Linked DNA regions of Solanum lycopersicum. The protein of the gene in region 1 interacts with the protein of each later gene in a pairwise test. Links are inferred from orthologs where the notes say so. Each region holds a gene or a part of one and is shown on either strand. Other genes may lie near its edges. The genes, in order: nuclear cap-binding protein subunit 1 and nuclear cap-binding protein subunit 2.

What was found.
Region 2: the proteins of nuclear cap-binding protein subunit 1 (region 1) and nuclear cap-binding protein subunit 2 interact in binary tests that used the Arabidopsis thaliana proteins (3 or more experiments, as listed by UniProt). The link is inferred for Solanum lycopersicum from reciprocal best matches to the Arabidopsis thaliana genes ABH1 and CBP20.

What each region holds. Positions count from the first base shown.
Region 1 is NC_090809.1:717,851-721,674, reverse strand, and holds part of nuclear cap-binding protein subunit 1, read left to right. Parts: intron 1-1,401; coding exon 1,402-1,473; intron 1,474-2,129; coding exon 2,130-2,192; intron 2,193-2,713; coding exon 2,714-2,890; intron 2,891-3,824. UniProt on the Arabidopsis thaliana protein: Component of the cap-binding complex (CBC), which binds cotranscriptionally to the 5'-cap of pre-mRNAs and is involved in various processes such as pre-mRNA splicing and RNA-mediated gene silencing (RNAi) by microRNAs (miRNAs).
Region 2 is NC_090801.1:50,429,366-50,433,189, forward strand, and holds the end of nuclear cap-binding protein subunit 2, read right to left. Parts: intron 669-3,824; coding exon 612-668; intron 497-611; coding exon 390-496; intron 316-389; coding exon 241-315; 3' UTR 67-240; downstream 1-66.

The DNA.
Region 1 (3,824 bases):
CCTTAAGTGGAACTTTGGCTTTCCAGATTTGTCTCCAAAGGCCATTGAGGGTTAGAAGAGCCCTGTTTATGACCTTGTAACCTGGGCTCACTTTGAGTCTTCCTTTGTTGTGCTCTGTCCACTGTAGGCAGTCTCCCCTTCCTTCAAACCTTGAAATGATTCCAACCTTTTAAAGAACTCAACTAATCTACAAACTTCCCGATCATTTAAATTCTTTCTGTGAGATAGATCCCGACCTTGGGGTTCAGCCACTGTTCTGTCTTTATGTAGACCCCAAAAAGATGTATTCTCGTTGAACTCTTGCCGTCCTTTTAAAATGGTCCTCCATAGGCCACAACCGTTGGGAAGTGGGGCATTTTTAGTCCTCCAACCCCCCTCTAAAGCCCCATGCTTCTCCACAATTTCTCCAAAAAGCATTTACCTCTACCCAAATCTCTATAACCGCTTTCCTAGAAGTGCCTTGGCATAGATTCACTTTCCCTAACATGTATAGAATTTCTTGCCATGTGTACACTTTCCTAGAAGTGCCACCGTAATGTGGAAGGCCTGAATGTTCTTCAACCCTCATCCTTTACAATATTCCAGAACTGCTGAAAGAATGTTAGAGTGAAATAATCAGGTCCCAAAGCTGTATCTCCCGTATAACTTTCGATTGCCTCCTTCACCTCCTCTTCTTCATCACTCTTTTTAGTCACCCCTCTTTTCTTCCCCCTTTTGGTTAAATTCTAAATCCCCCAATCTAAGCCTCCATTCTGATTTCCGTCTCCTCCTCAAAGGGAAAATATGATCTAATACCACACAAAATGGTAGTGTCAGTTACCTTTTTTTCCCTATAAATATGAGCGAGGGGATTACAAGGTGGGGGATTGGCCCCATCCATCTAGGCGGAAGCTTGGTGAGGATCGGACCCCCACCATCAGGATTAACATGTTGCCTTAGCCCTTATTTCCCCGGGCAATCTTTATGTTATTACTGTATTTCTTTGTTACAGAGAATCTGTATAGGTTTATTTATTTATCTGGCTATTGTCACATCAGTGCTTGTGCTGAGCAAGAGTTCATATTTTTATTCAGTGTAGGGCTATTTGAAATTTAAAGAACTTCTTGTATTATGATTCCCACTAGTCGTCTTACAAGTCAAGATTATTGGGTGTTGGAAAGAGATAGGTTTCAAGTAGAGTTAAAAGGATGTATAAGATCCATACAACTGACTTAAGTAGCTCTGGGTGGGGTATATTTGGTTAATTGCACTATCAATTCATTAATTGGGATATTTTGCATTTCATGGTTATTATTTCCGCTTATTAAATTGTTCTCGTGTTTTCATTTTCCTTTTTTATAAATGTTCTATTACTTTGTTTCCCTCCTCCTCTCTGCATTTACGACATCTGTCCGTCTGCAGATTGGCCTTTTGAATTTGGAAAATGAGGAATTTGTCAGGAAATTAGTGGAGAGCACTCAAATTAATTTACAGGTCAGCAAGCTCCAATATTTGGTTATTCTTGAGCATTGGGAATAGTGATCTTGCTTTTTTTTTTTAAAAAAAGATGATCTTTTGTAGTAAATGGAAGTGGCATTTACCTTGATTTTGCATCTCTAAACTCCATGTCTGTTACTGGATACAGCTTAAGTCTTGTTACCCTGGGGTTATCTGCTACATTATTGTTTTTTTACACTATAAAAATCAACTTGCCAGACACATCTAGATTCATTTGTTTCAAATTTTCTTCTTGCTGTTTCTCTATTAATGCAGCAAAATGGTGCTAAAATATTTAGAATATGGTACACAAAGGCATGCCCAGGATATGCAATCTTTGGGTTCCTTTAGTAATCTCAAATTAATTGACGATGATAACTGGGTTCAGAATTAAATATTTATACATTTTTAGTGGATGTTTTAAAACACATAGTGTATGCGTAAAAGCTACTAGGTTACTCCTAGTTTTGGGCTTAGAGAGTTCTTTTGCTTATATGCTTTTGGCATTTCCATCTCCTTTGTTGAAGAAAGTGGTGTGAAAGGAGTTAAAGGAAGTTCCATCAATGTTAATTTTGTTGTCAAATTTGTAACATCGGCTTGTATTACTCTGGATGAGATGTCCTTTTGATAATTGCTATTTTCCTTCGTTTCAGGATGCGTTGGAGACTGGACAGTGCAACAAGATCCGTATATTGATGAGGTTTTTGACTGTTTTGGTATGTTCTAGGAATCTGCTATAGTTTTTCTGTTCTGATCTTATTGAGTTTGAAAACTAAGTGGTCTGTGAGCAGGGTGTTTGGTAGCCTTTTGGTTAAGGTATGGAGATATTTGGTAAAAAATGTAAGTATGTGTAAAGTATATTTACCAAAGTTTTATCATCTATGATTCCGTTCTTTGTGGGTGAAATTGTCCCAGCATTCAGAACATTCCTCAGGACCAAGTTCATTTATAACCATAATTTGTATCCTTCTCTCTCTCTCTCTCTGTAACTTTGTTATGATTTTATTAGGATTGAGTGCAACATTCGAACATCAAAGTGACTATTTTTTTTTATTAGGCTCGCCCATGAGATTATTTTCATCAAATTGAGTTCATTCACTTCTTTACTCAGTTTCTGCTTTACCTGAAACCTTGCATCACATTTGCTTGTGTCCTCACAGACAGTTTTGAGTATGATCTGATGCCGCTAGTTAATTGGTAGTTGTTAGTGAAGTTAATATATTGTTTGTGTTGTTAGATGTGCAGCAAAGTTATCCAACCGAGTGCATTAGTGGTTATTTTCGAAAGCTTATTATCATCAGCAGCGACTACTGTGGACGAAGAAAAAGGAATTCCCTCTTGGCAAGCACGTGCTGACTTCTATATTACTTGTATTTTATCGTGCCTTCCTTGGGGTGGTGCTGAACTTGTTGAGGTAACAATATGCACTTGATCAAAATGCCAAACCTTTATAGTTCTTGCCTGCAATTGGGTGACGAGTTCTTATTTTCCCTGCTTGTACTTTTTTTGGTTATTTTCTTTTTTCTTTCACGAGCCGGGGCGAAAAAATATGGATCTTAGAGATTCATCATAGCAAAGCCTCTTTGCTGGTTTACTGTACCCAAAATTGTAACTAAGCTTGAACTGCACATTGGGGTTGGCAGATTGGCAATATGAGTAGGAACTAGAGAACTTTATCCAAAAAAGGAGTCAGGTAAAAGATTTATGGCAGTATCCCGAGTAGATTGGCATTTAGGCTTACTTGATTGATCTCAAAATTAAGACATCTGTTACAAGGGGCAAAGTGTGGGAATATATTTCTATTTCTGTTGCTTACACTTATAAGTTCATTACACGGACTTTCCTTTTTGACGTAGTATAGATTTCATCACACATTGAATTAGGGTTATACTGTTGATTATGAGTATATACTGCATGCTTGTAGATGCCTGGAGTCATGATCATGAAGGCTTTAAGGCTTGTGCCTCAGCTTATTTTGTATTATTATTGTTGTTGTTATTATTATTATTATTGGTATTGTATTTTTATTACTGTTACTATTATTACTGTTTTGATGATAGCTGAGATATCCCTGAGGTCAATGACGCACAGTTCAAAACTTGGTGGATAATGAGCCTGCCCCTCCTTGCTTCTCCACTTTATCTGTTACAGGTTTTGAACCGTGACACTTGCCTAATTCACAAATCACGCGTGCGCTCTTACCATTAGACCAAAAACCCGGAGTTTTTTGTATTATTTCATCGTCTTTTGCTTGGTTCTTTCTGTCAAATTACTTTTTTGTTACGAAAACTTAAGTCCGAGGAGTAACTCAAAGTGTCTTGAAGATTGTCAACCATTTTTGGTTTTTG
Region 2 (3,824 bases), on another chromosome or scaffold:
ATTGTGCATGAGAAGGCTAGTTTAAGCTGAGAGACTATTTTTTAAAAAAAAAAAAAAGAAGAAGAATTCCAATAACCATCAGAAAAATACTAATAAATGAAAGGTAAAACAAGAGTCAGAAGCAACGATAACTCCTTGGTGCAAATACGTTCCCTAAATGTACAACATTTTTAATGAGAGCATAAAAGAGCAGGTTTTCAACTCTTTTATAAAGTAACACACAGCAATGAACTGAAACAACTAGGTACGCCGCTTCCTATCATCATCATCCTCTTCATCAGAATCACCACTCTCACGGAAACGCGGATTCTTTTCCTGCACAACAAGGTTTCACTAAAACCGAAGAGGGATAAAAGGATTTGCAGCTCAAAGAGTATAAAAGAAAATACCGGTCTAGATTCATGATCAGAGTTTCTCCTAGATTCACGCTCATAAGTCCTCTTTGGATAATCTGGCCGATGGTGGTCATCTTCCCTGTGTCGCTTGCGATGATAGTCTGTTTTCCACGTAAGATAAAGAGTTACTCCTATTTCTTTAATCTATTCAAATGAAACGAAAAAATACAATAACGCAGAGCATTAGAACTGAATTAAAAGCTTTGAAGAGCTAACCTCTACCATGTCGATAAGAGCCTCCACGACCATGGTTTCCACCATTATGTCTACCATCTGCAGCATTTCTTTTATCAGTCAATGACAGAGACACAGGAAAAGGTCTATAACAAGTGTACCACATTTTTTTTTATCAGTATTACAAAATCAACAGTTTGAGAACTGCAGATAAACTTGGGATGATGTGAAGTTATTGGAAGTGCAAGAAAAAATTCAGTGGAGCATGAAGGTCGAGTAAATCAACTATTTCTAGCTTAATTTGAAATCCTCAAGTGGTTAATTCAATCTCTTCTTCTTCCTTTATCTCTTGTTAGAGAAACTCCCAAAGCTTAAATCTCTGATTTTATATAGAACAATGAAAACTCACAGCATTTATTTGGGAAAACACAACCAGACTAACCAGGGGAAGAATATGGCCAGCTCAAAATTTAGGGACCGGAACAAAACCGAGATCATTAACAACTAGATCTATCCATGCTCAAACTTATACAATTCTTTTGACCATACACGGTTGATTTTCTAAGAAGCATTCAGAATGTAGACATTGTGCTTAATAGATGCAGTATTTTATGTCAAAAAATCCATTCCTCTGACAGCTATGATTATAACTCATAAATTGGAAGGCCCATATATTAGAACGAGTGAGGTCTGCGATAAGAACTTCACGAAGAGATATAGATACAAAGCAAAGTAACCAAGCTCTGAAAGCGCATGTTAAGAAGGTTCACTAACGTGCACTTTTACGATGGCTTGACAAAAATACCCCTCAAAACTATTCCAAAGACACCATTGAATCAGGAAAATGATACCCAAATGGCCACCCCAGAAACAGGCATTTCCCAGAAGCTTCCATCAGTTCAATTAGACCAATTTTTGCTGGAGTTGGGAACACAAGAACTGGTTTGCAATCAAAATTGTGCGCACAAAGGCAATTCAACAAGCCCCAACAAAGACAGCTGCGTGAGTGGCAAAACCAACTGAGGTGGAGGACGATGTCGCTATGGCGAAAAGGGAACTCACATACTCAGCCGGTGGACCTGTGCTTTATTCACCGATGGCTGATGCAGTAAAAAGAGAATCGCACAGTGTGAAGGGTGAAATTAAGGATGTGAAACCTTAATCCTAATGAAATTACCGTTAATGTCGTAAAAGGTAAAGTTCTTTGATTGGTTATGCTATCGGTGGGAATCCAATGTTTTAACTTTGAGGAGATGTTGAACTCTGTATACAGAGTTTGGAATGGTGTTGAAACCTAATGTATTCCTACATGATGATGGGTATTTCATATTTAGATTTGAGTCTTCGAGGATAAGATGACAATCACAGAGAGGGTCCGTATACATTCCACAATAGACCTGTGATTCTTACGGATTGGCTTCCTGATTATCAGGTAAGGAAGGAGTCAATGAGAGTGGTGCCCCTCTGGATGCGATTCCCAGGATTGCCTCTACAATATTGGACAGAGGAGAACTTGGTTTGAATTGGGAGCTTTTTGGGTAAAACCTGAATACACTGATAAGCTAACAGCTCACAGTTAAAGAATTTCCCACACTGTGTATTGATCGAGATCGACATTACCCAGCCCCTCCCAATTGAGCTGAACATTGAGAAACAGAATGGGAGATGTTTTTTGGGAAGATAGATGGCTAGAACAAGGATCTTCAAGTACCTTGTTCCCGAATTTTTTCACCCTAAACCAGCAGCAAAGGGCCACTGTAGCGGAGATGTGGTCAAACCAAGGGTGGAATCTGAGCTTTAGAAGACCTCTAAACGACGGGGAGATCAAAAGGTTGGTGGAGTTTTACAAGGTCTTGGGGCAGTTCAAAGGAACTATTGATGCACAAGACAGTCTGGGATGGCAGGATCACAATCGGGACAATTTCAGTATTAGAAGAGCGTACAAAAAAATCAATCCTTGTAACAGTCAGAGGAATGGGTGGCCATGGAAGTTGATATGGAAAACTAAAATCCCCTACAAGGTATCTTGTTTTACTTGGCTCCTTGCTAAGCAGGCATTTTTGACCCAGGAAAATCTTACGAAAAGAAATATTCAACTGAGTTCTAGGTGCCTACTATGTGATGAAGAAGAAGTAGAGACTGTCAACCATCTCTTCCTTCACTGTAGAATAACCAACATTTTGTGGAATGTCTTTATCAATCAGGACATGAAAAAGGTTATGCCTAGGAAAGTTATGCAGACTCTGAAGTTATGGAGCAGTTATGCAAGCATTACCGGGCATAAAGAAAGATGGAAAATCATTCCGGCTTGCATCTGGTGGTCAGTGTGGAAAGAAAGAAACCTCAGATGCTTCCATAACAAGAGCAATTCCATCCAGCAGATTAAGATGAACTGCTTAGTTTTGTTTCTTTTTTGGTGTAAACAGGAGGACACGGTAGATCTAGAATCAGTCAAAGATGTTTTCGGTTCCTTGTAAATTTTGCTATAGGATTATAAATCTTCCTGGTCCTCTCCACAATTGTAATTAGGAACCTGTAACTTGTTGTGGCAGGTCCTTTTTTTTTTTGGTTTTGGAACAAAATACAAGTTGTTACCTTCTCAAAAAAAAAAAATGGGAGATGTTGGAACAGGATGTGGAATATGAATGGCTGACAAAGTTCTGTCCAGAGAGTTGTCAATTTGGACACTTCTATATCGATTGCTTGATGCCTTTCAAGAGTCGAGCTGTACACAGGAAGAAAAGGGAAGAGAAAGCAAAACGGAAGTCGAAGGCAGTGGATGTACAAGTTGTACCACCATTTGGTGAAGGTTGACGAAGGGGAGCAAGTGCAGATTGATACTAACAAACACAGAGGGCTTATCGACTATGAGGTCCTAGCTGCTACACCCAATGCACCCCTTAGAATTCAGAAGACCACTAGGAGAGCAGTGCACAAGCTACTCCTGGAATTGAAGATACAGAGCAACAGATGCAGATGACAATTTCCGAGGGTTTCAAAGGGATTACATCAATTGAACCACCCCAACCCCTATGATAATCACATCTTTGAACATAAGAGGCCTGAATAGGCCCTACAAGCAGAAAAGATGAATTCTTTTCTGCTAAAGCATAAGGTGGAGGGTTATTGGCATTATAGAAACAAGAGTGAAGAGGCCTAAAGCAAAGGAAATTCACCTACAATTTGGTAGAGAAAGGAACTTCTTTATTAACAATGATTATGCACCAAATGGGAGGACCTGGTCATGTTGGAAAC